Oryctolagus cuniculus: one gene and its partner. The protein of the gene in region 1 purifies or fractionates together with the protein of each later gene. This does not show direct contact. Links are inferred from orthologs where the notes say so. Each region holds a gene or a part of one and is shown in the gene's direction. Other genes may lie near its edges. The genes, in order: FGFR1 and CD44.

Region 1 (11,957 bases):
GCTGACCGTTCTGGAAGGTATACACTGCACTGCTCCTCTCGCTGTCCTGCCCTCGCCATGGGCACGGGGGAGCATGCATTGTGGGGCCGGCGGGGGAGACACAGAGCCCCGGGAGAGAGAGAGCAGTGGGCTCTTGCCTGCCGCACGCCCTGTTGGCTGTGGCATTGAAGGCTCGCTATGGAGCTTTCCTGGTCTTGCGGGAACAACAGCAGCCTCCCACTGGTGCACCTGCGTCTGGCTCTGTCCCCTCCGTGGCCAATGCAATGCATGCTGGGGATCTGGATTCATTTCGGCAGCCGGGCTCTCCTGCAGGGCAGGCTTCTCCTGTCCTTGGGTCCTGCAGCCTCCCCTAGGTCCCTGGGTGTCTGAGATACCTGATTTATTTATTTATTTTATTTTTTTATTTTTTTGCACCAATCCCAAAAGTTTGAGAAAGAGCCCTGCTCTTCACACTGCATGTAGGCCCTCAGCCCAGAGGTGCTCAATGCTTGTAGGGAGCGGCACTTGTCCAGCCTGCATGCCAGGTCCTCTGGCTGGGGAGAAGCCACCTTTCTAGACAAGTGAACACGACCTGCTCTAAGTCAGGCCTGCCTCAGGCAGCCTCAGTGGGGCCATGGCAGTCCCCCTGCATCCTCTCTGGCTGCTGTCCCCGGCGGGAGGTCTGTGTCGAGCCAGGAAGGAAGAAGCCTGCAGCTGTGCAGGGTGGTGGTGACCGGAGCTGGGTGTGCTGCATCTCCGCGTGTCCCGCATGTGGGTCTGGGTGCCATCTGCTCTCCTGTCTGACTCCGCCCCCTTCTGTCCTCACCCCCCTCCACTTGAGGCACAGAAGTGTTCTCTGTTTTCATCGTCGTCCTGTCTTCGTCCCGTCTGTCTGTGCACCCCATCATTTGTCTTTTGTTTCTCGACGTTGGGGAAAGGAGTAAAACAGAAACACTTCTGTCATCAGCTCTGTCGTCTGCCGGTCAGGCCTTGAGGTCCTCAAGGGCCTGGGCCTGGGCCTCGTCCTGTGCCTCTCTCTGGGTTGGGGTGGGGATAACTCCCGCCACCTCTGTGGCTGGCTGCAGGGTTTCTGAGGGGCGGATCAGGAGGGGAGACAGCGGTGACGGGAAGAGGGGCCCCTCGCGAGGGTGGGGCTGGGATGAGAGTTCTCTCCCGGGTACAGACAGGTGGGCTGAACTGGCTTGGCTTTTGGGGGGTGGCAGTGAGTTCCAGATGGAAAGAGGGCAGGCAGAGAATAAAACAAGGCACCTGCCGCTCCCTTTTCCTTTGTGAGTGTTTGTTAGGAGGTAAAGCCCGTGAGTAGAACTCTTGTGAGAACTACACAGAAAAAACAATTCAGACACGTTGGGAAGTGGAATCCCTTTGCAAGTGGCTTGGCTAGGTGTAAATATTTACATGTCTGGTCTAGTGGAGGTGACTGACACAGGTGTCAGGACACAGGCCGGGTGCCGCCGCCCACACTCAGGTGCTGGGGCAGACACAAGTGACCAAGGCCTCGGCCCTGCCTCTGGGACCTCATCAGAAACGGTCTGTCCCCATGGGATAAGTGTCCGAGGCTCTGCAGTGACACTGAGAAAGGCATCCAGAAGTGACTTCTCAGCTGCCCCTCTCGGGATACCTGAGAGGGGATACCTGGTATCCAACCATCCCCCCAGCCGCAGCTGAGTGAGGAGGCTCCCAAATGAGAATAGATGTCTAGTGCTTAGCACTTAGGGACTTTGCATCCGGTTAAGGACGCCTCAGGGATCCCAGGATGCCTGACCCTCTCGGTGCCAGAACCCCACCCCTAGCTTACATCTTCTGAACACCCCTAAATGAGGCAGAGGAGATGGGTGTTGTTTTTCTAATGCAGTGGGGAAACCCCTTGTCAGCCTGGGGCTCCCCTGCACCTGCTAACACCCTGTTCACACCGACTCAGCCCTGGAAGAGAGACCAGCCGTGATGACATCGCCCCTGTACCTGGAGATCATCATCTATTGCACGGGGGCCTTCCTCATCTCCTGCATGGTGGGCTCCGTCATCATCTACAAGATGAAGAGTGGCACCAAGAAGAGCGACTTCCACAGCCAGATGGCCGTGCACAAGCTGGCCAAGAGCATCCCCCTGCGCAGACAGGTAACAGAAAGTAGATGGGGGATTTGCACGCTTGCGCTTTCTCTTGCTGTGCCTCCGGGGACATCCGCAGGGTCCCCCGATGCCTCAGCCTCTCCACCGTCCCTCCTCTCCCCCTTTAGGCTTTGCTTTCTGACTTCTGGGCCAGGCGTGTTAGAAGAAGGGCCTAAACCCAGTGTTCCAGAGTCAGTTTCACACTGGTCTAGCCTAGAAAATTCCCTGTACCCTCCATGCCCCTGTTGAAACGACCCTGTTCACATGCATGGGGAGAGAGTCCTGTGTGGTCTGTATGTGTAGCTGATGCCGTGTATCTGAGCACCTCCCAGGGCCAGCTGAAGGGACAGAGAAGCAGGGTAGAGAGAAGAGGACCCAAGTCAGTTCCCAGGTCTGAGTGGCGGGCACTCAGAACCCTGTGCAAACTCTGGAACTAACTTTGGGCGTTAGAAATCCATCATCCAAGGCAGGGTCTTTGCCAGGAATTGGGGCACGAATGAGAGTCATTACTGCAGTGTTGCGTTGTGGCAGGTCATGCTGGGAGAGGTGTGTGTGGTCTGCTATTTCCAAGGTGAGTGAAGCCCAACACAGCTGATCAGTGGCAGAAATAAGTCAGGATGAGAACACGGGTCTCCCGGCCTCCCGCAGTCTTTCTGCGGCTCCACGTTGGGGAAGGAACCTCAGACGCAAGAGACTCAGGCTTCTGCGGCTGCATCCCATCCCCTTGCTAGAAGGTAACCCCACTCTTCCCTATAGGTGTCGGCTGACTCCAGTGCATCCATGAATTCAGGGGTTCTTCTGGTTCGGCCCTCACGGCTCTCCTCCAGCGGGACCCCCATGTTAGCTGGGGTCTCTGAATATGAGCTGCCCGAAGACCCTCGCTGGGAGCTGCCTCGAGACAGGTGAGGACACCCCTTTGTTGTGGCTCTTAGGGTGGAGATTGTGGGTGCCAGGACCTTCCGGGGAGTCAAGGCATGTGCAGTGCCTCCAGACAGAATCCTGTCCATTTCTTGCTTGCCTTTGGGTATCCTCTGTGTGTTTGGCATTTACCAACCCTGACTCTTGCCAATTTCTCTCCCTCCTCCCTGCCAAAGACTGGTCTTGGGCAAACCCCTGGGAGAGGGCTGCTTCGGGCAGGTGGTGTTGGCGGAGGCCATTGGGCTGGACAAGGACAAACCCAACCGTGTGACCAAAGTGGCCGTGAAGATGTTGAAGTGTGAGTGATGCTTGTGTCTCTGCGTAAAACAGCCCCTTCCCGTCTTCCGAGCAGACTGTGTGCAGCCGCCCGCCGAATCGGACCCCTCCTCTGGTGCTTTCCCTGCCCCTGCCTGCTTTGCTGCCTCTTGAGCTTACCTGGGAGTGGGAGGGGCGCTCTGCACTGCGAGAGCAGTGTCTCCTCCCTCTGTTCCTTGCACACCAGCCTAGGCTGTAGTCAGGTGTGTGTTTCAGCTTGCTCACCGTTGCCCCTGCCTCACTCACAACAGTACTCCCATATGAGAGCAGGGAAATGAAGTGTTTGGTGGAGGAGCAGAGCGGGAGGGAGCCTCTGCACAAAGGGGTCCCTCGGGCACACAGTCTGCTGGTCCCCTTGGCTTTTATCCTGCCCTGCTCCCTCCCAGAGCAAAGGAGTCTCATGCCGTTTTCTGGTTTATGTGTAAAGCGGATGCAACAGAGAAAGATCTTTCCGATCTGATCTCAGAAATGGAGATGATGAAGATGATTGGGAAGCACAAGAACATCATCAACCTGCTGGGGGCCTGCACGCAGGACGGTAGGCACAGAGCCGGGCTGGCCCTCCCATCACCTGCAGCAGACCGACCAGGCTGGCGGGAGGGGGCTGCACTCAGAGGGGAGGGAGGGAGGCCTGTGTAGCAGTGACTGCAGAGTATCTCCTCGGGTCTGGGCTGCTGTCCATTGCTGCTCCAGGACACAGACACTGGAGTCCCACACATGATGTGTGGGCAGGAACAGGTGAGCCAGCTGTGGCTTCAGCAAGGGCTGTCACCCCCCAACCCCCAGTTTTGCTCAGGAACTTTGGATTACGTTGGAAAGAATCTCTCTCTTTTTTTTTTTTTTTTTAAGAATAATTATTTGGTTGTTTGGGTTTTTTGTTTGTTTTAATTTTGAGGGCCAGCACTCACTGTGACATAGCAGGTAAAGTTGCCGGCTACAGTGCCGGCATCCTGCCGGTTCGAGTCCCAGCTGCTCTACTTCTAATCCAGCTCTCTGCTGTGGCCTGGGAAAGCAGTGGAAGATGGCCCAGGTCCTTGGACCTCTGCACCTGCATGGGAGACCTGGAAGAGGCTCCTGGCTCCTGGCTTCAATTGGCACAGCTCCAATTGTTGCGGCCAATTGGAGAGTGAACCAGCAGAACATTTTATTGATTGATTGATTGATTGAAAGGCTGAATTAGAGAGATCTTCTAATTACTGGTTCACTTCTCAGATGGCCACAACAGCCGGAGCTGGGCCAGGCCAAAGCCAGGAGCCTGGAACTCCATCTAGGTGTCCTGCGTTGGGTGGCAGGGGCCCAAGCACTTGGGCCATCCTCTGCTGCTTTCTGAGGTACATTAGGGAGCTGGATCAGAAGTGGAGCAGCTGGGACTTGAACTGATGCTCATACGGGATGCTGGTGTTGCAGGTGGCAGCTTTTAACCACATTGCGCCACAACACCAGCCCCAGGAGGAATTCTTTCCCTGACTTTCTTTGGGGAATAGAATGACTTTCCCTGGTCCCCCAAAGAGGAAGCAGGAAGGGGAGCAGATGTACGGTGTTGGGGTACCACTTCGTTGTGACACAAAACCTGCTCACCTGCCCCTGCCTTGGTGACTGCCTCCTGTGCTCCCAGGTCCCTTGTACGTCATCGTGGAGTACGCCTCCAAGGGCAACCTGCGGGAGTACCTGCAGGCCCGGCGGCCCCCGGGGCTGGAATACTGTTACAACCCCAGCCACAACCCCGAGGAGCAGCTCTCCTCCAAGGACCTGGTGTCCTGCGCCTACCAGGTGGCCCGAGGCATGGAATACCTCGCCTCCAAGAAGGTACTGACCCGAAGGACTCCCCAGGGGGAGGTCGTCCGTCGTGGGAACCGAGTCCTCCTCTGCTTCCCCAGCCTGTGTAATCTCCATTCTCCGCGCGCTGTCTTGGGCTGTCCGGGAAGTGGGGGGAGGGGCAGCACAGCAGTCAGACTCGATTTGATTCTCGTCTGTGCGGTCCCACTTTCTGCATGGCCTCAGGCAAGCCACTTAGCACAAACTGAGGCTAATACTGATGTCCGGGGGCACCATGGGACAGCGCCTGTCAGAGTTCTGGGTGGCTCTGCTGCAGGTGGGAACATGGAGCTTGGCGCACACAACCCTACAGGCAGTCACAGACATGAAGGCTCAGCCAGCTAAAACTAAGGACGCAGGGAAGTGGGTTTGCTGAGAAGCCGGGATCCGTTTCCCAGTGGTGGTGCCTCACCTGCCCGGCGCCCTGTGCTCTGTACTCTCCGCAGTGCATACACAGAGACCTGGCCGCCAGGAACGTCCTGGTGACGGAGGACAACGTGATGAAGATCGCCGACTTCGGCCTAGCACGAGACATTCACCACATCGACTACTACAAAAAGACGACCAACGTGAGTGCCCAGGCTGCCGCTGCTCCCGCCAGGCGGCTCCTCCCACTTGGCTGTTTGTTTGAAATTTTAGCCAGGGTGGACAGCTTTGGCCGAGAAGCTGGGGGGTAGTAGCATAGGTTGGGTGTGTGGCACCTGCTGAGCCACCCCTACTCTCCACCTCTCCCCTCCATACTGCCTGCAGGGCCGGCTGCCCGTGAAGTGGATGGCGCCCGAGGCGTTGTTCGATCGGATCTACACCCATCAGAGTGATGTGTGAGTCCGGCCGGGGGACAGCGGGAGAGGGGAGTTCCAGGACCATGCCCTCCTGGCCAGCCTTTGTGGCCGGAAGCTGGAAGGCCAGCGTGGCCAACCACGGCGGCTGTTCCTCTGCTCCAGCCCCCCGGGCCCTCCCTTTTTGGGGGAAGGGAGGCCTAGGAGGGTGCACGGGAGACAGGGAAGCCTGAGCTGGCGCCAGGTGCAGTGGCCGTGTGCGCATCCGCAGGTGGTCTTTTGGGGTGCTCCTGTGGGAAATCTTCACCCTGGGCGGCTCCCCGTACCCCGGCGTGCCTGTGGAGGAGCTTTTCAAGCTGCTGAAGGAAGGCCACCGCATGGACAAGCCCAGCAACTGCACCAATGAGCTGTAAGCCGGCCTCTGAGGTCTTGGGGGAGCGGGATGCTGTGGGGCTCCTCCCCTTCCGGGGCGTGGCCATTCGAAACCCGCCCCCGGAAGGCCACCTTTCTCTCGCGCTGGTGCCCTTCCGCCCTGACTGCACTTCCGCTCTGCTGCCGCAGGTACATGATGATGCGGGACTGCTGGCACGCAGTGCCCTCCCAGAGGCCCACCTTCAAGCAGCTGGTAGAAGACCTGGACCGCATTGTGGCCTTGACCTCCAACCAGGTATGGCTGCCCCAGGCTGGCGCACGGGGCCCGCCATGGCATGGGGACTGGGCTTGAGTTCCGGCACCTGTGTCCCGTCGCAGGAGTACCTGGACCTGTCCATGCCCCTGGACCAGTACTCGCCCAGCTTTCCCGACACCCGAAGCTCCACCTGCTCCTCGGGCGAGGACTCCGTCTTTTCTCACGAGCCGTTGCCCGAGGAGCCGTGTCTGCCCCGACGCTCGGCCCAACTTGCCAATGGCGGACTCAAACGACGCTGACCACCGCAGCCCGTCTCTCCCCGCCCAGACTCCCACGGTCAGCCGTGGCCCTTGCCCACAGCCCCTGCTGGACTCACTGCCTCTCCTCACGCCCTTTCCTGCTGGCGGGAGCCGGCTGCCCACTTGAGGCCTTCCTGCGAGGCTGCCTTCGCCGCCGCCCCCTACCCCGGGCATCCCTTAGCTTCTCCTGCTCGTGAGAGAGAGAGAGGAGCCAAGGGGCAGGTGCTCGCTGAGGGGCCGCTCCGTTCCCTCCCACGGGATGGACCAACGCTCCCCTGCCGCTTGCCGCTGCCCGGAGGGTCGGGCGCGGGGCCAAGCGGGCCGGCCAGGGACAGCTCCCTAGGCTGCCCGCTTCTGTCGGTTTGTCCGTGTCACCGGAAGCTCCACAGCCCTTGCTCGCTGGTGGCGGGGGCCTTGTCCTCAGGGCTACAGCTGCTCCGCATTAGATGGTGCCGGTGGCTTATTAATTCCAATACTAACTCGCTTTGCTGACCAAATAGCTGGCACCAGAGGAGACAGACAGGCTGGGAGCAGTTTTGTGGCCCTGGGGCCCAGCCCTGAGAAACTGGGGGCTTTGTACATAGCTATGAAGAAAACACAAAGTGTATAAATCTGAGTATATATTTACATGTCTTTTTAAAAGGGTCGTGACCAGAGATTTACCCACCGGCTAAGATGCTCCTGGCGGCTGGGAGGCATCGGTTGCTATATATTAAAAAAAAAAAAAAAAAAGCAAAAACAAAAAAAAAAGGAAAAAAAAGGAAAATGTTTTTAAAAAGGTCATATATTTTTTGCTACTTTTGCTGTTTTATTTTTTTAAATTATGTTCTAAACCTATTTTCAGTTTAGGTCCCTCAATAAAAATTGCTGCTGCTTCATTTTTATATGGGCTGTGTGAAAGGGGAGAGAGTGTCCAGTGGAGAGAAGGGACACCCGTGGGCCCAGGGCTGGGTCCAGAGGGCACCGCGTGCTCCCCAGTTTCCTTGAAACGTCTTCCTCCTGGTTCCTACACCCAGACCCCTGGTGACAAGCCTCCTACCCGTGACCACGCTTGGAAAGGCTGAGGGGCAGAAAAGCTGCACCAAGGGCAGGTGGCGCTGGGCAGAGCACCACGCCACTGCAGCCTTTACCACAGGTTGTTTCCTCAGAGGAAACGGGGCTGGGAGGGTTGCAGGAGGAGGGGGGACCTTGCCATAGCCAAGGGCTAGAGCTCAGGTGATAACAGAGGGAAAGTGGTTTATCCTCGAAAGATCTGCAGAAAACTCAAACCTAGGTCCCAGTTTCTCCCCCACCCTCTGCCCATGTGGGCGTGGCTTCATCTCTGCTGGGTCCTGGGAGGGAAAACTTGTCACCTAAAAAGCTGCTTCATTGTCTTCCCACAGATAGTTCTTCTGTGACCAGGCCACCTTGGCTGGGGCAGTCTCTGAACTTGACTTCCTGTAGCTGTTCCTGTATAAACTCCATCCCATCCCCCAGGAAAAGGGGGAAAAATTCCCTGAAAGGGTTTGGGTTTTGGCTGCTTGGAAATTTACTTCTGCCACCTGCTGGTGTCGCTTGTCCTCACCCAGCGGGTCCTGAACCCTTAATGGTTCAGGCCCCTCAGCCTTCTCAGTGCAGTCTCGTTTCTGCAAGGGAAACGGGGTCACTGCTTTAAGTTCCCTTTCTAGCTCAGTGGGTTTTTTTTTAGCAGCTGCAGTGTTGGTCCCACCATTGGGAGAATCTCATGTCTGTAAATGTTAGCATTTATGTTTAAAGAGGGCATGATTGGGTGAACAGAGCTAGGAAGTGGATTTTAGCTCTCAAAATCATTTCCCTCCAAGACCGAAGGGTGGCATGTCTCCCTTGTATGGCGGCGGTGATTTCTGCCTTGGCCCTTGGTGGTGTGAGTGCGTGGAGAACCTGCGAAGACCTGTGTGTGCTTTCAGCAGCGGCACTAGAGAAGTAGAAGGCACTGTTATTTGTGACAGTGATGTCCTTGCTGTTGCTGCTCAAGTCACCCGCAAGGATCCCCAGAGACCTGGCTGGCTGTCAGATAAAAGGTAGTGACATTGACCTGAGAGAAAATGAAATGGCCATTTTACTTAGATGACCAGATTGGGTCTCCTGGGGAAGGAATCCAGTCTGTAATGAAGACTTCTGTCAAGGCAGTGAATCTCTCTGGTTTCCTGAGGGTTAAGGCTGGGGCCTGGGATCAGCACGGCATTCATCCATTGCCGTCCCGCCTCTCCTAATTGCTGTAGGCTGGGGATCATCAGTCCCTTGGCACTGCTAATGTAATGTATTGATCGCAGGTAAGTAAGATTGAGTATCAGAAGAAGCAGAAATTTTATCTTAATGGTAATGAAGTCGCTGTGTTTGTCAGCTGCCACTGGGGGGAGCCAGCAAGCTAAATGCTCAGTCAACATCAGCTCATGGGCCAGCCTTTCAAGTCTGAGCTGCCTGCATACTAACATGTGCTGGTGGTGGATGGGAAATCTTTAAACCTAGGTTTTAGCACTAAAAGCACAGAAATCTGGTTGGGCATTAGGCATAGGAATGCAGAAGCTGCTTGGGATACCTGCATCCCACCTCGGAGGGCCTGGGTTCAAGTTTCTGCTTCCAACTCCAGCTTCCTGCTAATGGAAGGCAAGGGATGATGGCCCAAGTACTTAAGTTCACCCTCATGAGAAGCCCAGTTCTCAGCTTTGGCCCAACAATAGCTCTTGAAGGCGTTTTGGGAGTGAACCAGTCAGTGGGAGATCTGTCTCTACCTTGCAAGTGAAAAAGGATAAAGAATTCCTAAACTGCCTGGTGAGGTTATTGGCAGCTGGTCGAGCCAAGGCATCTGTGTGTCGGGCAGGGTAGAGAGCTGGGGAAGGGGAAAGCTTGGGAGCCTCCTGACAGCTTTCCACCCCTCCGCTGTGGTAAGAGCCAGGAAGAGGGTAGGCAGCAGGTCAGGGCGGATTCCCTCTAGATGGGCACCAGTGTTCGGGACCGTTTATACTGTACTGCTGCCCAGATCCAAGTCTTGACACCTCAGAGTGATGTATTTGGGGAACTTGGTGCCCAGCCAGTTCAGTGGGTTTAACTATCTACTCCAGGAGGGCCAGGGCGGGGGTGTTCTGGAGCTGGCTCTCAAGAACCGGTTGTGTGCACCTCTTCCCAGCTGCATTGTTCAGTGACTTGGTTTTGACAGCTTGACATCTCCCACGGTGGGAGGCTGTAAGTGCTACAAATCAGGCATTGCCCCACCCCACCCCGGTAACTGAGCTGGCTGTTGGTAACTTACTGGAGCCACCACCAGCTAGGTTTCAGCATGGGATTCTGTCTAATAATGGTAGAACCCAGTCACTGAGCGCCCTAGTGATAAGAGCAAAGCAACATCTGTGACTTCCTGCTGTTGCAAGAATGGGAAGAGGTGTGTCAGGCGTCTCCCATGCCAAGCTTCAGCAAAAACACAAGACCAGGGTCCCTTGACCTAACCATTCCCATTCTGCTCACAGAGTGAGCCAGAAAAAATTGCAGGACAGGCCAACAGCATGTGGAAATAACTCAGCGGAAGCAGGACTGAGCAGCTGAACTACTGATACCTTCCCCACACTTACACACCTGAAATAAACACCTAGCATCTTGAAGGTGCGGAGATTTATTGTGAGTGGCCTCGCCAGGCCGGTGGCAGGATCCATGGGGACTGGTCACCTCGAGGACTGGAGTTGTTTCGTTTGCGGGCAGGGGTGGGGATGGGAGTGGAGGAGGGGCTTGTCCCCTGATAGAGTAGTTTAGGAAGCATCCCAGAATGCACCTTTGCTAGTGACATTTCTCGTTTAGGTGATCCCAGACTGGGCAGAGTGGAGTTTTCTTTTTGGTTTAATGGGATCCCGTGTAACTGCCTTCAGTTTCACAACAAGTAAAGAAATATAATTTCAATCGCCCACAGGCCAAAATACCTTTTCCCTTCTAACAGCTTCCCCAGGTAAGAAAAGTTCCTGGTCAGCTGCTGTCAGTATTAACAACACTAAAAGCAACTGAACGTCAGTCTGAATGGAATACTTGTTCCTGGGGAGCACAAGGATCATCTCCGGCTGTAAGAGCCCCGTGACTGACTAATAGTCTTACTTGTGAAAGACAAACCGACCAGAAACACACTCAGCACAAACAAATGGTTAAGCCTTAAACCCTTAATTATGTTCCCTACAAAATGGTGGCTAATGAAAGCCACATGTGCTGGGATAGTGGCCACCTCCCAGATTCCTGTAGCCTCTGCAGGCCCCAGAGGAAGAGGTCAGTCAGAACAGCTAAGCCATAGCCAAACCTTTTTTGACTGCCAGTCTCTTAACTCCTCATTTTCTCCTCTAAGAAGTGAGCCCTTTCTTTCCAGAGAGACTTCCTGGGGAGTTGAATTGTCCTGTTTCAGAAGGCACTTCTGTTTTCAAAGCCACTGTCATGTATGTGGCATTCTGGAATAGTTGGCCAGGTGCTCTTAAAATGGGGTTTGGAGCTTCCTGAGTTCTTAACTTGGATTCCAGGCCATGGGAAGCAGAGGTATGTTAAGGTGCCAGGCCGAGTCCATTATGCAAACCATTTCCCCTCACGGGCATGCACAGATGTGCACTATTTGCAGACCGCACAGTGGGGGTGTGGGTGGGTGGAGGGGTTCACACGGTCTGGTGGGATCCCCGGTGGTACAGAGGAGATGAACTTGGCAGTCCTATCCATCCACATGCTCTCAACCTAGTCTTGCTGCCAACATCATCGGGAATGGTTATGAGGCCACCAAGGACTGAACCCCTCTGTCTCCAGTCACACACAGTCAGTCGTAGCTGGGAGGTCCCGGATGGGTGCCGCTGCTGAGGGCTGGAAGCTGGAGAGAGTGAGCTTGGTCCTCACGGCGTCCTTAGGCTCCCTTTGAACTAGCCTTGCTGTTCTGGGATGTCTTCTGTGATTTGGCTTGGAGTGTCTAGGAATAAAACATAAGGACTCCCAGGCATGGGTTACAGCTATGGGGGGAAAGTTCTGGAGGAAGAAACCCTCTTTCATTATAATCAAAACAGCGGCAGACCACAGAAGTCAAGTCAGTCGCTGATTTACCTTGGTGATGAAGATAGGCCCAAACAAGGT
Region 2 (12,419 bases), on another chromosome or scaffold:
TCTGCCTGTCAAAAAGGAAAAAAAAAAAAAGAATTGAATATTAACCCTTTCAAAGAGCCTGTGGCCAGGGCCCATGCTGTGGTATAGTAGGTTAAGCATCATCTCAGCTCTGACTGTTGCAGCTATTTGGGGAGTGAACCAGCAGATGGAAGACCTCTTTGTCTCTCTCTCCCTCTATGTCTGAAACTGTGCCTCTTAAGCAAGTAAACAAATCTAAAAACAAAAACAAAACAAAACAAAAAAAAAGAGCCTGTGGCCAAATTGACATTTTGAGATTCAATGATTGTTTACAGCCTTGTCTCTACTGTTGAGGAACAGTTTTTTTTTCTTCATACTATTTGTTGAACCTTTTACTTAGTGTAGGGCTAATCTTATGAATATAAAGTTAACCAAAAATAGATCTCTGTAAAAATTAAGAGTGGGAATAACAGAGGGAGGAGGAAGAAGTATGAAATGCATGGAATTTGTATACCTTAAATAAAATTTTAAAAAAAGAAAGGAAAAAAACGAGCCTGTGACCTTATAATCCTTGAATTCCATGATTCAACCCCATGTTTCCCAACCTTGCTCTTCACACGCCTGCTGACGTTTGACTTAGAGTTGACTGTTTTTGCTTAAAAGCAACAGGAGTCATTATTCCTAGTCTGAAGCCATCAAGCCCAGATATTTCAGCAAAAGCACCTGGTCTACCAGAATGAGCAACAAGCTGGCTCCACCGTAGTCCTCCCAAAGCAGTCACCACAGGCAGCACACTGCTGTGGCTTTCATGTAGCATCTGTCAAGTCATCTGAGAGCTTCCACCTCCTAGCACATGTGATTCCCCAAAAACCCCTGTGGGCCGGGCGGGGAGGGAGGAGAGTCACAGCCATCCAGGGATTTACGTAATGCTTATTTATAGAGCGCGTTCCATGTTCTGGAGACGGAGTGTGGCGGATACCGACAGAGAGCCGAGGATGCACAGGTGGCCCTGTTCTCCCGTAGTGTGGAGCTTGGTGGCCAGGGAGCCGATGGACGTTCTGCCCTCCTGTGTGCCACCATTAGCAAGGACTCCAGGAAACCATCTTCATGGCTTATTTCACCGCGTACTCATAGCACACTAGGAGACAGGGCTCTCTATCTTATTTTGTGGCTTGGGAGTTGAAATGCAGTGAGGTTCTGTCACTGGGCTGATAAGACAAGAGCTGCCGGTGCTCAGACTTGGGCTTTCTCAGACCCAGGCTGCCGATCGTAGTCTTTCCCAACAGCACAAGCTCGTGCTGACCCAGATGAATCTGAGCTCTCTTTTCCAGTCTCCCACATCCCATGCTTTGGCTTAGAAAGGTATCCGGTGTGATATGAACCAGATACAGAGCATCTAAAATTCATCATTATAAAGATTTCAGTCTTTATAGAGGCTCAACGCAGTGTGGAAAAGCTGTTGTGTGACTAATTGTGTTTGAAGAGTGTCCTTGTTTGGAGCGGAAAGAGGCTGGGGGTGGGCTTAGCGAATGATCCAGGCTGACCATGACCCAGTCAGTCACCTCATCAACTCTGTGAAATGAGTCATTTGTGGTGTGGGGGTCAGCAGCCTCAGTCCCTCAGTAAACTATCGGGAAGGGGACAGACAAAAGCCTCCCTGCTGGGAGAATTAGCCCAACTGCACCCACTAGAATTTGCATGCCTGGCTACAGTTTGCAAAGCACTTTCAGATCAAATTTTTTTTTTAATTGGTAGTGATTGTTTACTGCATTAACTGCTAAACTGACCAGGATTCGAAACGATCTTGTTTGGTGGTTTTTTACATATCTTCTTAAGAGTAAAACCAGCCGTCAAAATGAAATCTCACATATGAAATTCTCCTGTATAAAATAGACACAAGTGGAACTTCTGCGGTGCGGATGGGGATGGCAAGGGAAAGGAGCAGGGGAGGGGAGGCCCAGCCAACTTGGAAGCCTTTGCCCTGACCTCTGGCCCTGTTTCTTAGGGGTTAGCGAGGAACTTCAGGTTCCATGAAACACAGGGAGACAAACGTTGTTCCTACTTCAATCCTTTCCCCCAAAGAAGGCGGACTCCTGGTGGCAGCATGAGGTGTGCAAGGCCAGGCATCCTCCTGATGGGAAGACCACCTGGGCTGGCTCCTTACCTGGTTAGAGCCCAGAGCTCCACAGCTCCGCCTGGGAACCAGTTGGCCCAGGTTGATTCAGGCGAGTGTCCCTCTGGTCGTGGAGAGTGGCAGGGCAGAGTTTTCAATGCCGGCTCTGCAGGCACTATCATCATTTCAGACAGGCCGACCTTGGAGCCATGGCAGGCCAGCTACTGAGCTGCTGAGGAACAGGCCCCAATAATGGATTTTCACCTCCAGATATTCTCCCAGGAAATGGAGGTAAAGTAGCTGACAGCCAAACGGACTCAAAAACTTTGTACAAAAAAAGGTGAAGGTTGTACAGTATTGTGAATGTTCCAGTGCCACTTGGCCTACTCTCCTTCAAATGGTAAATTTTATGTTATCTGCATATTAACATAATAATCATTTTAAAACTTCCACCGGCTCCTTATTCCTGGTGAGATCAAGTTCAAATTCTCTGGTTTCCTTATAATCTGGCCTCTGTCTACGTCTTCAGCCTCATGTCTCCCTGTTCCCCTTCCAAACTCTTCATCCAAATTACTATTCAAATAATTCTCATATTTATGGTTCTTGCTGTATGCATGTGCAGGCTCCTGCCTTATATATGGAGGACTTTCAAGTCATTTGGTCCTTGCCAATTCTAGGAAGTAGATACTGTTACTGAGCTCATTTATACTTGAGGAAAGTGAGCATGGAAAGGCTTATTGGTGGGGCCGGTGCTGTGGCACAGTAGGTGAACATCCACAGAGGGCCAGCAGCATCCCAGATGGGTGCTGGTTCGAGTCCTGGCTGCGCCACTTCTTTTTTTTTTTTTCTTTCCTTTTTTAAAATTTTTATTTATTTATTTTTATTTGACAGGTAGAGTTATAGACAGTGAGAGAAAGGTCTTCCTTCCATTGGTTCACCCCCAAAATGGCCACACAGATCTGAAGCCAGGAGCCAGGTGCTTCTCCTGGTCTCCTGTGCGGGTGCAGGGGCCCAAGCACTTGGGCCATCCTCCACTGCCCTCCCATGCCACAGCAGAGAGCTGGACTGGAAGAGGAGCAACCGGGACAGAATCCGGTGCCCCAACCGAGACTGGAACCTGGGGTGTTGGTGCCATAGAAGGAAGATCAGCTCCCCAAGAACGAGTGTGACTCCCTACTCTAGGACTGACAGCACCCTGAAAACACATAAAGTTGTGGTTCTAGGAGCTCTCTTGGCCACCAAAATCTCAGATGCTCAAATCCTGTATATAGAATGTAATTATGAAATATATGAAGTTTGTGTCCCTTAAATAAAAGGTTTCTGGGGGAAAAGAAAAGAATGGTGTAGTATTTACATATAACCTATGCGGAATGTGTCACGTATTTTAAATCATCTAAAAGTGACTTATTACATCTCATACAACATGAAGGCCATGTAAATCACTGTTTTACTGTATCACTTAGGGGATAAAGGAAAAACGCTGTATATATAACAATGTTTTCTTCCCCAAATGTTTTTGATCCACTGATACAAGGGCTGGCTATTTTATACTGTGGGTAACAGTCTTTTCGGTTTTTAAAAATATTGTTATTTATTCATTTATGTTTTATTTGAGATATAAACAGAAAGAGAGGCAGACAAAGAGTGGTCCCATCTGCTGGGTTACTCCTCAAATGCCTGCAGCAGCAAGGCTGGATCAAGCCAAAGCCAGGAGCTCCAGGAACTCAGTCCAGGTCTCTCAGATGGGTGGCAGAGATCCAAGTATTTGAGCCATCAGCAGCAGCCTCATGAGATGTGCATTAGCAGGAAGCTGGAATCAGAAGCAGAGCCAGCACTCAAACCCAGGCACGAGATGTGGGATACAGGGGTCCCAAGCAGTGCCTTCACTGCCAAGTCAAACACCCACCCGGAAAGTTCGCTTTCCTATCAGCATGGACAGTCCCTAAAGACAGGGTCAGGCCTCATCTATCTTGAGACTTTTTTGTGCCCATTACTCATTTGATGAGTAAATGGGTAAGCAGGTGGCTGGGTGCCTCACTGCCCAGTTTTCCCATTTCTTTCAATAAATTACAGAATCTTGCCTTTCCTTGGAAATTCAAGCATGATTCCTTCAGGACCTTGCCACAGCTACAGATGGTCACTTTCACTTTCTGTGCATTGCCCAAGGCAAGAAGTTCATTGAGATCTACTCTCAGTAGTCCACATTAAAACTGCTTTTGCTTTCCAAACACTGCACCATAGTATCTTCTAGGTGAAGATGGAATTAGGATCCAAAATGTAGTTTTTTATATCTTCAAACTTGAAATGCCTTCCTGAAAGAACATGACAGTCGAGGCCAGCGCTGTGGTATAGCGGGTAAAGCTGCTGCCTGCAGTGCCGGCATCCCTTATAGGCACTGGTTCGAGTCCCAGCTGCTCCACTTCCTATCCAGCTCTCTGCTATAGCCTTGGAAAGCAGTAGAAGATAGCTCAAGTCCTTGGGCCCCTGCACCCTCATGGGAGACCAGGAAGAAGCTCCTGGCTCCTGGCTTTGCATTAGCACAGCTCTGGAGAGTGAACCAGTGGATGGAAGACCTCTCTCTCTCTCTCTTGCTGCCTCTCCTTCTCTCTCTGTGTAACTCTGCCTTTCAAATAAATAAATAAATCTTTAAAGAAGAAAACAAACATGACAGTCCCTTCTCCTGTTTAGATTTACTAGGTAGGCTACACTGGGGAGAGTAGATGAATGTTTGTGTAGAATGTGGTATAAAAGGGAGCAGGAAAGGAGGGTTGAATGTGGGGGTGGATGACAGCACAGATAAATGATGGGTAGAAATGTTGATGATGGATGGATGTGAGATGAATGGATACATCAACTAACAGAGAGGTGTTTGGAAAGGAGATGTTTCTGGGTCGGGAGCACAAAGAGATGTGAAAGCGGAGGTACAGAATGGTGGAGGAGCAGCTGTGTGGGAGGATGTGCGGAAGAAAAGGCGGTTGGATGGATGGATGGCTGGTTGAATGGATGGAGCCAGTGGATCAGTAGATGAATGGGAAGATGAATGGATTTGAACAGATAATAGATGGACAGTGGGCCGGATGGATATTAGCGCTCCGGAAGTACGTAAGGAAAGATGGGTGGATAGATGGACGGTGAATGGAAGGTTATTCAGGAGGAAGACTGAGTGTGTGGGCACAGAATGAACGCGGCGGTTGCGGGATCCAAATCGCAGCCCCAGGGCGGGCCTTGGGTCGCTTTCCCTGAGCAGTCCTAAGGAGAAGCAAAACGTCACTGCCACCGACGATGCGGACCTCACTATTCTTCGAAGGGAAGAAGAATGCACTCTGCCCTCCTCCCCTGGGAGGAAACCTAAGCCCCTGCCTCCCCCACCTCCAATCCTCGCCCAGGACGCCCACCTGCCTGGGAGACCCAGAAATGCTCCCCAAACCAAATGCAAAAAGAAAGCTAGCGGGAAAGGAGAGGCAGAGGCTAAACACAAGGGAGGGAGGTTTTAGGGGCTCAGTCATCCTAGCAAGCGGCGGAGCCAGCTGACGGGCGTCCCGGGGCGCACGGACTGGGGGCGCAGGGAGTCCGCAGGCAGCCAGGGCGGGCAGGGGCGGAGGCCCGCGCCAAGGACTGCTGGTACGTCTTTAAACCTCCGCCGGCGCCTTAGACACAGCCCCTCGCTTGGGTGTGTCCTGCGCTCGCTCCCTCCCTCTTAGGTCACTTTCAAGCCTCGAATAAAAACTGCAGCCAACTTCCGAGGCGGCCTCATTGCCCAGCGGCCCCCAACCTCTGACAGCTTCGGTCCGCCCCGTGCGCCCCGTCCTCCACCGGCCCCCGCCCCGCGCCCCGGGACCTCCCCTCCTCCAGCACCACCGCTTGCTCACTCGATTCGCTGGGACACACCATGGACAAGTTTTGGTGGCGCGCAGCCTGGGGACTCTGCCTAGTGCAGCTGAGCCTGGCGCAGATCGGTGAGTGCCCGCCGCAGCCCAGGGCGGCGGCAGGGGTGTCCGCAGTGTCCAGGGAGCAGCCGGGCAGGAGCCCGGTAGATTGAGTCCGCCCTGGGAGGCTGGAGTCAAGTGGGGCGGTGAGTGACCTGAACTGAGTTCAGGAGAGCAGCGCTGGGATTTGCGCTAAGCGGTTGGCGAGTCTGTCGGTGGGAAGCACCGTTTGGTGGAGTGGAAAAGGAGGCAGAGAGTTGGCCGGGCAGGCTGCCCTCTCAAGTTCGGCGTGAGGGCGCCGGAGCTGGAGCACATGGCAGAATAACTGTACTTCTGGGTGCGCGCAGAGGCAGGGAGGGGAGCCAGAGCTAGGGTAGGGGCTGCTGGCAGGGTGGCCAGAGGTGATCAGAGTTACAGGGGTGGGAGCCGGAGGCAGTGAGCTTTCCAGAAAGAGCTCCTGTGTTCATGTGGCTGCCCAGTGAGCCTGATTTCCAACCTCTGGCTGTCTGGTCCTGCCCCTGACCACCCTAGCCTTGAACTTGAACCCTAGAACTTGAACCAACCCTGGAGATGAGGTTCTAGCCTGGGGCAAGGAGTGCGAATAAGAGGGACAATGACTGGGCGCCTGCTCAACTCTGCCAGCCTTCTGTTCTGCCAATCAGTTTGGGGAAATCCAAACAAGAATGTGGCTCCTGTTCCCTGCCCCTGCCTGGCAGTCTCACCCCAGGGAGGAGAGTCTGGACACCAGCGTGAAGTCAGGGACCTCGGAGCCAGGGCTCCAGTATCACATGCGAACAGACTGGTGCCTTTCTGTGGCCGCTGAGGGGCGTGCAGTGTGTGAGGTATTCTGGTGTGGCTCAACTCCAAGTGTTCCCTTTCTTTGTCTATATATGTACAGATAATTACACGGTTGATTTGCTTATCGCTTGGAAAATTAATTTTTCTTTCAACAAGTGCCAGCTGGGTCATTAAGACCGCTCAGCCTATGGTTCATAATACTCAGTGAGTGTTTATTAAACTCAGTTTGGGGGTATCCAGGAAAGCCAGAGACACAGTCCCACCTGGGTACTTTAGATGAGGCTAGGTTAAGGACCTAGAATTGCATTTCCTGAGGACAGAAGTAACAATAGTGGTAATAATAACAGCAAGAACAATGCTAGCTACCCCCTACTGCACCGTTCCCTGTGCAGGGCACTGTGTTAAATCCTTGGTCTGTGTTACCTCCTTGAACTCCCACAGTGGCCCATCATTGGGTCTGTTTTCTGGGAGGGAAACTGAGGCACAGAGAGGTTTCACACAGATAGGACTGTGCTGGGTTGGAACCCTGGCCCACTGAATGCCAAAGGCCAGGCTTAGGATGGGTTAGACTCAAAGGGAAGGGCCGACTCTTAAAGGAGCTCAGGGCAGGAGGGGCTCTGGGCAGGAACTGGAGCTCCAGCAGCCCCTTGAAACGCAGAAAGCTCAGGATGGGAGAGAAGAGACTCTTGGAAGCAGGGAGAGCGTTGGGGCCTGGTGTCAGAGGAGGGGGGCAGAGGAGGCTTCTCTGTGACCACCTGGGAGGTTTATTTGTACGCTGCCTACCTCCCTGCCGGGTCTTCTGCTTTGGTTCCAAGGTGTTCTGAATCCTGACTCCCTGCTTCTTCTAAAGGGTTCTACCTCCAAGTACTTGGCACCATCCTCAGCCTTGAGGCTCTCCCAGCGGGCTCGCTCCTGCCTGGGGTGCCTGTGGTCTCTCAGAACCTCCCTTCCTTTGGAGGAAGCACAGTGACTGTAGCTGCCTGGGCACGGGCTTTCACGTGCTCAGAAAGCTCTTTGGAAGGAAGGAACTGAGACTTGCAGAGGCGATGTGGCTTCATAGAGGGCTTGGGGCTGGGCAGGAAGACAGGGGAAGGAGAAGAAGGAGTTGCTTCTTGTTGGGGAGTGGTGGGCTCTGGAGGACAATGGGAAGCTGTGAAGTGGAGCAAGGCTTGTGGGTAGAAAGAAGCATCCAATCTTTGTATACAAAAGCGAAAGGTAGAGAAATGGCCCCATGTAGGTAAGGAATGTCAGTCCGAGAAGCTGAGTTGGAGAGTTGAATGAGGTGCTGTGGGTGGCTTAAAGAAAGTGGCCCTTGATAGAGGCCTGGGGGTGAGCCCCCCCCCACCCAAGCACATCATATCTCTGCTTCTCTGTGAGCTAGGTCATGGCTAGGGAACTGTGGCCTTGGCATTGAAAAACTGGATTGTGTCTGGGAATTGTGGGACTGGGAGTGGCAGACCCCTCCCTGTCCCCACTGAACTTTGTCCGGAGTTAGAGCTACAGCTGTGTTCCCATGTGCCCAAGTGAGGAAGCAACACTCCATCCCTACCAGGATTAGCACTGATTAATTCAAGGATTCCCCCTATTACACATTGGCCATGTACTTCCAGCAAAGGTGTGGTGACAAGATGAGTAGGAAAAAGTTCCATTTTCTTCCAAATTACCCCATGCAGGAGTGGATGCTAGGCATCCTGAAATTCCTAGTATATGACAGACTCCCTTTCATTCATTCAACAAATCTTTTCTGATTCATTTTCATAGACACAGAGACAGAGACAGACATTAAGGATTGTTTAGAAAAATCCCTTCTTTTTTCCAAGGAGGAAAAAAAAGACCCTGAAGGAAGTGGAAGAGTGACTTTCCCTCTCTGAGACTTGTTAGGATGTGAGGGCGGGGTGCTTGTGCCCGTTTGGTTAGGGAAATACCCCTGACTCGAGGAGGGAGGAGTCTGGCCCCCGGTCCTGTAGTGGGCGGGGAGGCTGTTGTCTGTTGGGGCAACAATATGTGTTCTATGCTCAAGTGCTATCTTGTGCATGCCTAGCAGTTCTGTCATTTACTCTGCCTTGTGCCAGCTTGGGTTTAATGTAAGAGCACTCTTGTGTGTTTAGTATAAGAACAACCATGTGTATTTAGTATCAGAGCAAGCTTGTGTGTTTAGTACAAGAGCAATCTTGTGTGTTTTGACAGAAGCAATCTTGTGTATTTCTTAGCTAACACTCAGGGAAGATGCTGTGGGGCTTCTAGCACCTGCAGGAACATAACCAGAGGGGTAGGAGAGCACTCCGATTTTCAAAGCTTGGTGCCTTGCTATTGTACTGTATGGTACAAAACGTGTTCCTAAAACCATAGGAAGTACCACTTAGCAAACAGCACCTGTACTGGGCATTAAGTCAGGGCTTGGCATAGATTCTCTGATAGGAGCCTCAGAGCAGCCGTGTGAATTACTACTGTTAACTCCGTGTGCCAGATAGAGAGATGGAGCCTCCGAGACACGATGTGACTCACCCACCGACCAAGTGCTGGAGCTGGGATTCCCCCTGTGTGAAATTCCCCCTGTTAGAATCCAGTGGCCACAGGCCTTCCATTCATTACTGTACCTGTGGAGGACTTTGGAAATTGTGTGTTGTTTTCCCACCCTGCCTGTCCCCTGGGCCTGGCACAGGTGAAGCCTGGTATGAGTGGCTTCTCTCTCCGCCCTCTTGCAGGCTGTAGACTCTTAGCTGCCTTGCCCTGTCTGGGGCTAGCCTGTCTCCACCCCACCCCACCCCCACCCCCCAGGCATGGCCACAGCTGTCGGAGATGCCAACCTAGTTATTTGCTTCTAAAATAAGTCAGTTCCCTTATCAGAGTCCAGCTGCCTTCTAGACATGCTCTCATTTGCAGGGTTTGGAAAAGAAAGAGAGAGAGAGAGAGGGAGGCTGTTTCTTTGTTGAAGAGACAAGTCAGGGCAATGTCCTTGTAAGGGCTGTCACCCTGACCCTGTAAGCACTCCAGTGGCATTGACCCTGAGAATCTGTCTTCAGAGGATCATCAGCAGGCTATGTGTGCCCTGGGAAGAAGTCTTGAGGTATCTAGGCAGTGGGCTGACATGGTTCTCTCTACTAAACTCAAGGATCTTGAACCGAAACCCGGTGAGGAGCACTAGGTGACACGTGGCCAACCAAGGGAGGTTTCAGATCTGCCTGCAGAGTCAGGCCTCCAGGCTGGGGTCCCCGAGGCAGAGGAGGTGGTGGGAATGCGAGCGGGGCCTCCCCAGCAGTCCGTCCTGGTTGGGAGTAGATCTGGGGCTGGGACAAGATAGCAGCAGCAGTTGTATTGCCAGCACCTCCATTGCAACTGACTCCACCCAGGGCCCGAGAAGGAAGTGGTTCTAGTGAAAGAAGCTGCGGCAGGTGGCAGATGCTGCCACGCACAGTGCAGTGTTCAAAGGGGATCTTTCATGTCTCAAAGAGAAATTCTGGGGTTTGCACAGCCAGAAGCTGATGACTCAATTTCCTTTGTGTCTGCTTGAATGGGAAGGACACAAATATTCTTTAGAATTACTGGGATAGGATGATGCTTTCTGCCTTAAATAAGAATTGCATTTTTTTTTTACTCACGTAGCCAGGTACAATTTTTTCTTAATAGTGTACTCCCCCAAAACTGGACAGCAGGAGTTTGGGAAGCCAGCCCAATTGGCCAGGAGCTTGGAAAGGCCCCTTCTAGGGCGTGTCGCTCTGGAGTCCTGTTGGCATGGATGCAGTGAGTGTGCAGTCCAGATATTCTTGAAGAGTCAGGATCTTGAATGTGCAAGAACTCTACCAATTGACATATGCTGTATATTTTGACTAAATGTCTCTGTATCTTTCTACAGATAAATACATGAGTTCATGTGATTATAAGTCAAACACTTTATAAGGCTTTTCACATAAAGAATTTCACATCTTTGCAACTTCTTAGTCTAGTGTCCGCAGAAATTGATATTTGGTTCAGAAAATATGTATACTTTGGAGAGAAATATAATATGTTATTTCTTGATCTTAGTGTGTGAATTACCAGGAGAAACCACATATTTGGTTCTTGTTTTCTAGATGTATACATCTCCATATTATGAGTGTGTGTGTACATATATTAGTACATGAGTCTGAACACATGTGCCGATATGCATGTGAATGTAGCTGGTCAGTCATTCTCTTTTTTTTTTTTTTTTTGACAGGCAGAGTGGACAGTGAAAGAGAGAGAGACAGAGAGAAAGGTCTTCCCTTGCCGTTGGTTCACCCTCCAATGGCCGCCGTAGCTGGCGTGCTGCGACCGACGCATCACACTGATCCGAAGGCAGGAGCCAGGTGCTTCTCCTGGTCTCCCATGCGGGTGCAGGGCCCAAGGACTTGGGCCATCCTCCACTGCACTCCCTGGCCACAGCAGAGAGCTGGCCTGGAAGAGGGGCAACCGGGACAGAATCTGGTGCCCCAACTGGGACTAGAACCCGGTGTGCTGGTGCCACAAGGCGGAGGATTAGCCTATTGAGCCATGGCACCGGCCCAGTCATTCTCTTTTTTTAAAAAAATATTTTATTTATTTGAAAGGCAGAGTTACGAGGTGTGGGGGCAGAGAGACAGACATCTTCCATCTGTTGGTTCACTCCCCAAATGACCGTAAAGGCCAGGGCTGGGACAGGCTGAAGCCAGGAGCCAGGAGCTTCAGTTGAGTGTCCATGTCAGTGCAGGAGCCCAAACACTCGGACCATCTTCCACTGCATTCCCAGGCATATCAGCAAGGAGCTGGATCTGAAGAGGAGTAGCTGGGACTTGAACCGGTGTTCATATGGGATGCCGGCATTGCAGGTGTTGGCCTAAACTGTTACACCACAATGTCAGCCCCGATCAGTCATTCTTATGGGCATCCCACACTGTGTTAGGTATTATGGGGGAATGAAAAGTACAGAAAAAAGGCCTTAACTGCAAGAACCTAGTGATTCTCCACGTGTAGCACAGTGCAATTGAGTGACAGCCTGCCAGTTCACACTGCAAAGCTAACAGCATCGCAGAGCTGAGGCAAGGCAAGGAGGCCTGGAGCAATCACTGAAAGCACTGGAGAGGAGGCAGCAGTGCAGTCAAGACAGGACTTGAGTGGGTAAAGAGGAAATGAGAAAGGGATGTGTCGACTTCTGCTCCCCACTATGAATTGATCCACCCCTGACCATGGTAATTATCTAGCCAAAGTGTCCAGTGTTTGTGTGCTACTTGCTCAGTGCACCTTGTAGTTAGGTAATGGGGAGTGGGTTGCCAGGAGGTAACAACTACTAGTCCTTGCCCCAGAGAATCTCACGGTCTCGTGAAGGCAGCTTCAACACTATTGGCGTGGGCCAGAAAGGGAGCTGCCCTTTGAGTTATGGGATATGTGGCAGTGTCTCTGATCTCTATACCCAATGTTCTGGTGGCACCAGTCTCCCCCTCTGGGGTGTAACCACCAAAAGTACCCCCCTAGACAGTTCCAAGCTGATGAGGGTGCAGTGGAATGTCAACCATCCCATAATCTCCTCAGTTGTTGGGATCCCAGGTGCAATAGGATGCCAACCATCCCACAACCTCATCTCTAAGAAGGTTGTATCCAGTTCTCAGAATTCTAGCTGGCCTCCATAAAGC

What was found.
Region 2: the proteins of FGFR1 (region 1) and CD44 purify together in Homo sapiens (affinity purification with mass spectrometry; 3 studies listed by BioGRID and IntAct, counting the BioPlex papers as one, with this or other methods). This does not show direct contact. The link is inferred for Oryctolagus cuniculus from reciprocal best matches to the Homo sapiens genes FGFR1 and CD44.

Annotation. Positions count from the first base shown.
Region 1 is NC_091433.1:88,149,189-88,161,145, reverse strand, and holds the end of FGFR1 (fibroblast growth factor receptor 1), read left to right. Parts: coding exon of another isoform or gene 1-17; intron 18-1,918; coding exon 1,919-2,122; intron 2,123-2,862; coding exon of another isoform or gene 2,863-2,863; coding exon 2,864-3,008; intron 3,009-3,200; coding exon 3,201-3,322; intron 3,323-3,766; coding exon 3,767-3,877; intron 3,878-4,954; coding exon 4,955-5,145; intron 5,146-5,600; coding exon 5,601-5,723; intron 5,724-5,904; coding exon 5,905-5,975; intron 5,976-6,204; coding exon 6,205-6,342; intron 6,343-6,494; coding exon 6,495-6,600; intron 6,601-6,683; coding exon 6,684-6,860; 3' UTR 6,861-7,738; downstream 7,739-11,957. Other genes in the region: LETM2 (LETM1 domain-containing protein LETM2, mitochondrial), read right to left, coding at 11,734-11,796. UniProt on the Homo sapiens protein: Tyrosine-protein kinase that acts as a cell-surface receptor for fibroblast growth factors and plays an essential role in the regulation of embryonic development, cell proliferation, differentiation and migration.
Region 2 is NC_091432.1:30,848,755-30,861,173, reverse strand, and holds the start of CD44 (CD44 antigen), read left to right. Parts: upstream 1-5,776; 5' UTR 5,777-5,960; coding exon 5,961-6,027; intron 6,028-12,419. UniProt on the Homo sapiens protein: Cell-surface receptor that plays a role in cell-cell interactions, cell adhesion and migration, helping them to sense and respond to changes in the tissue microenvironment.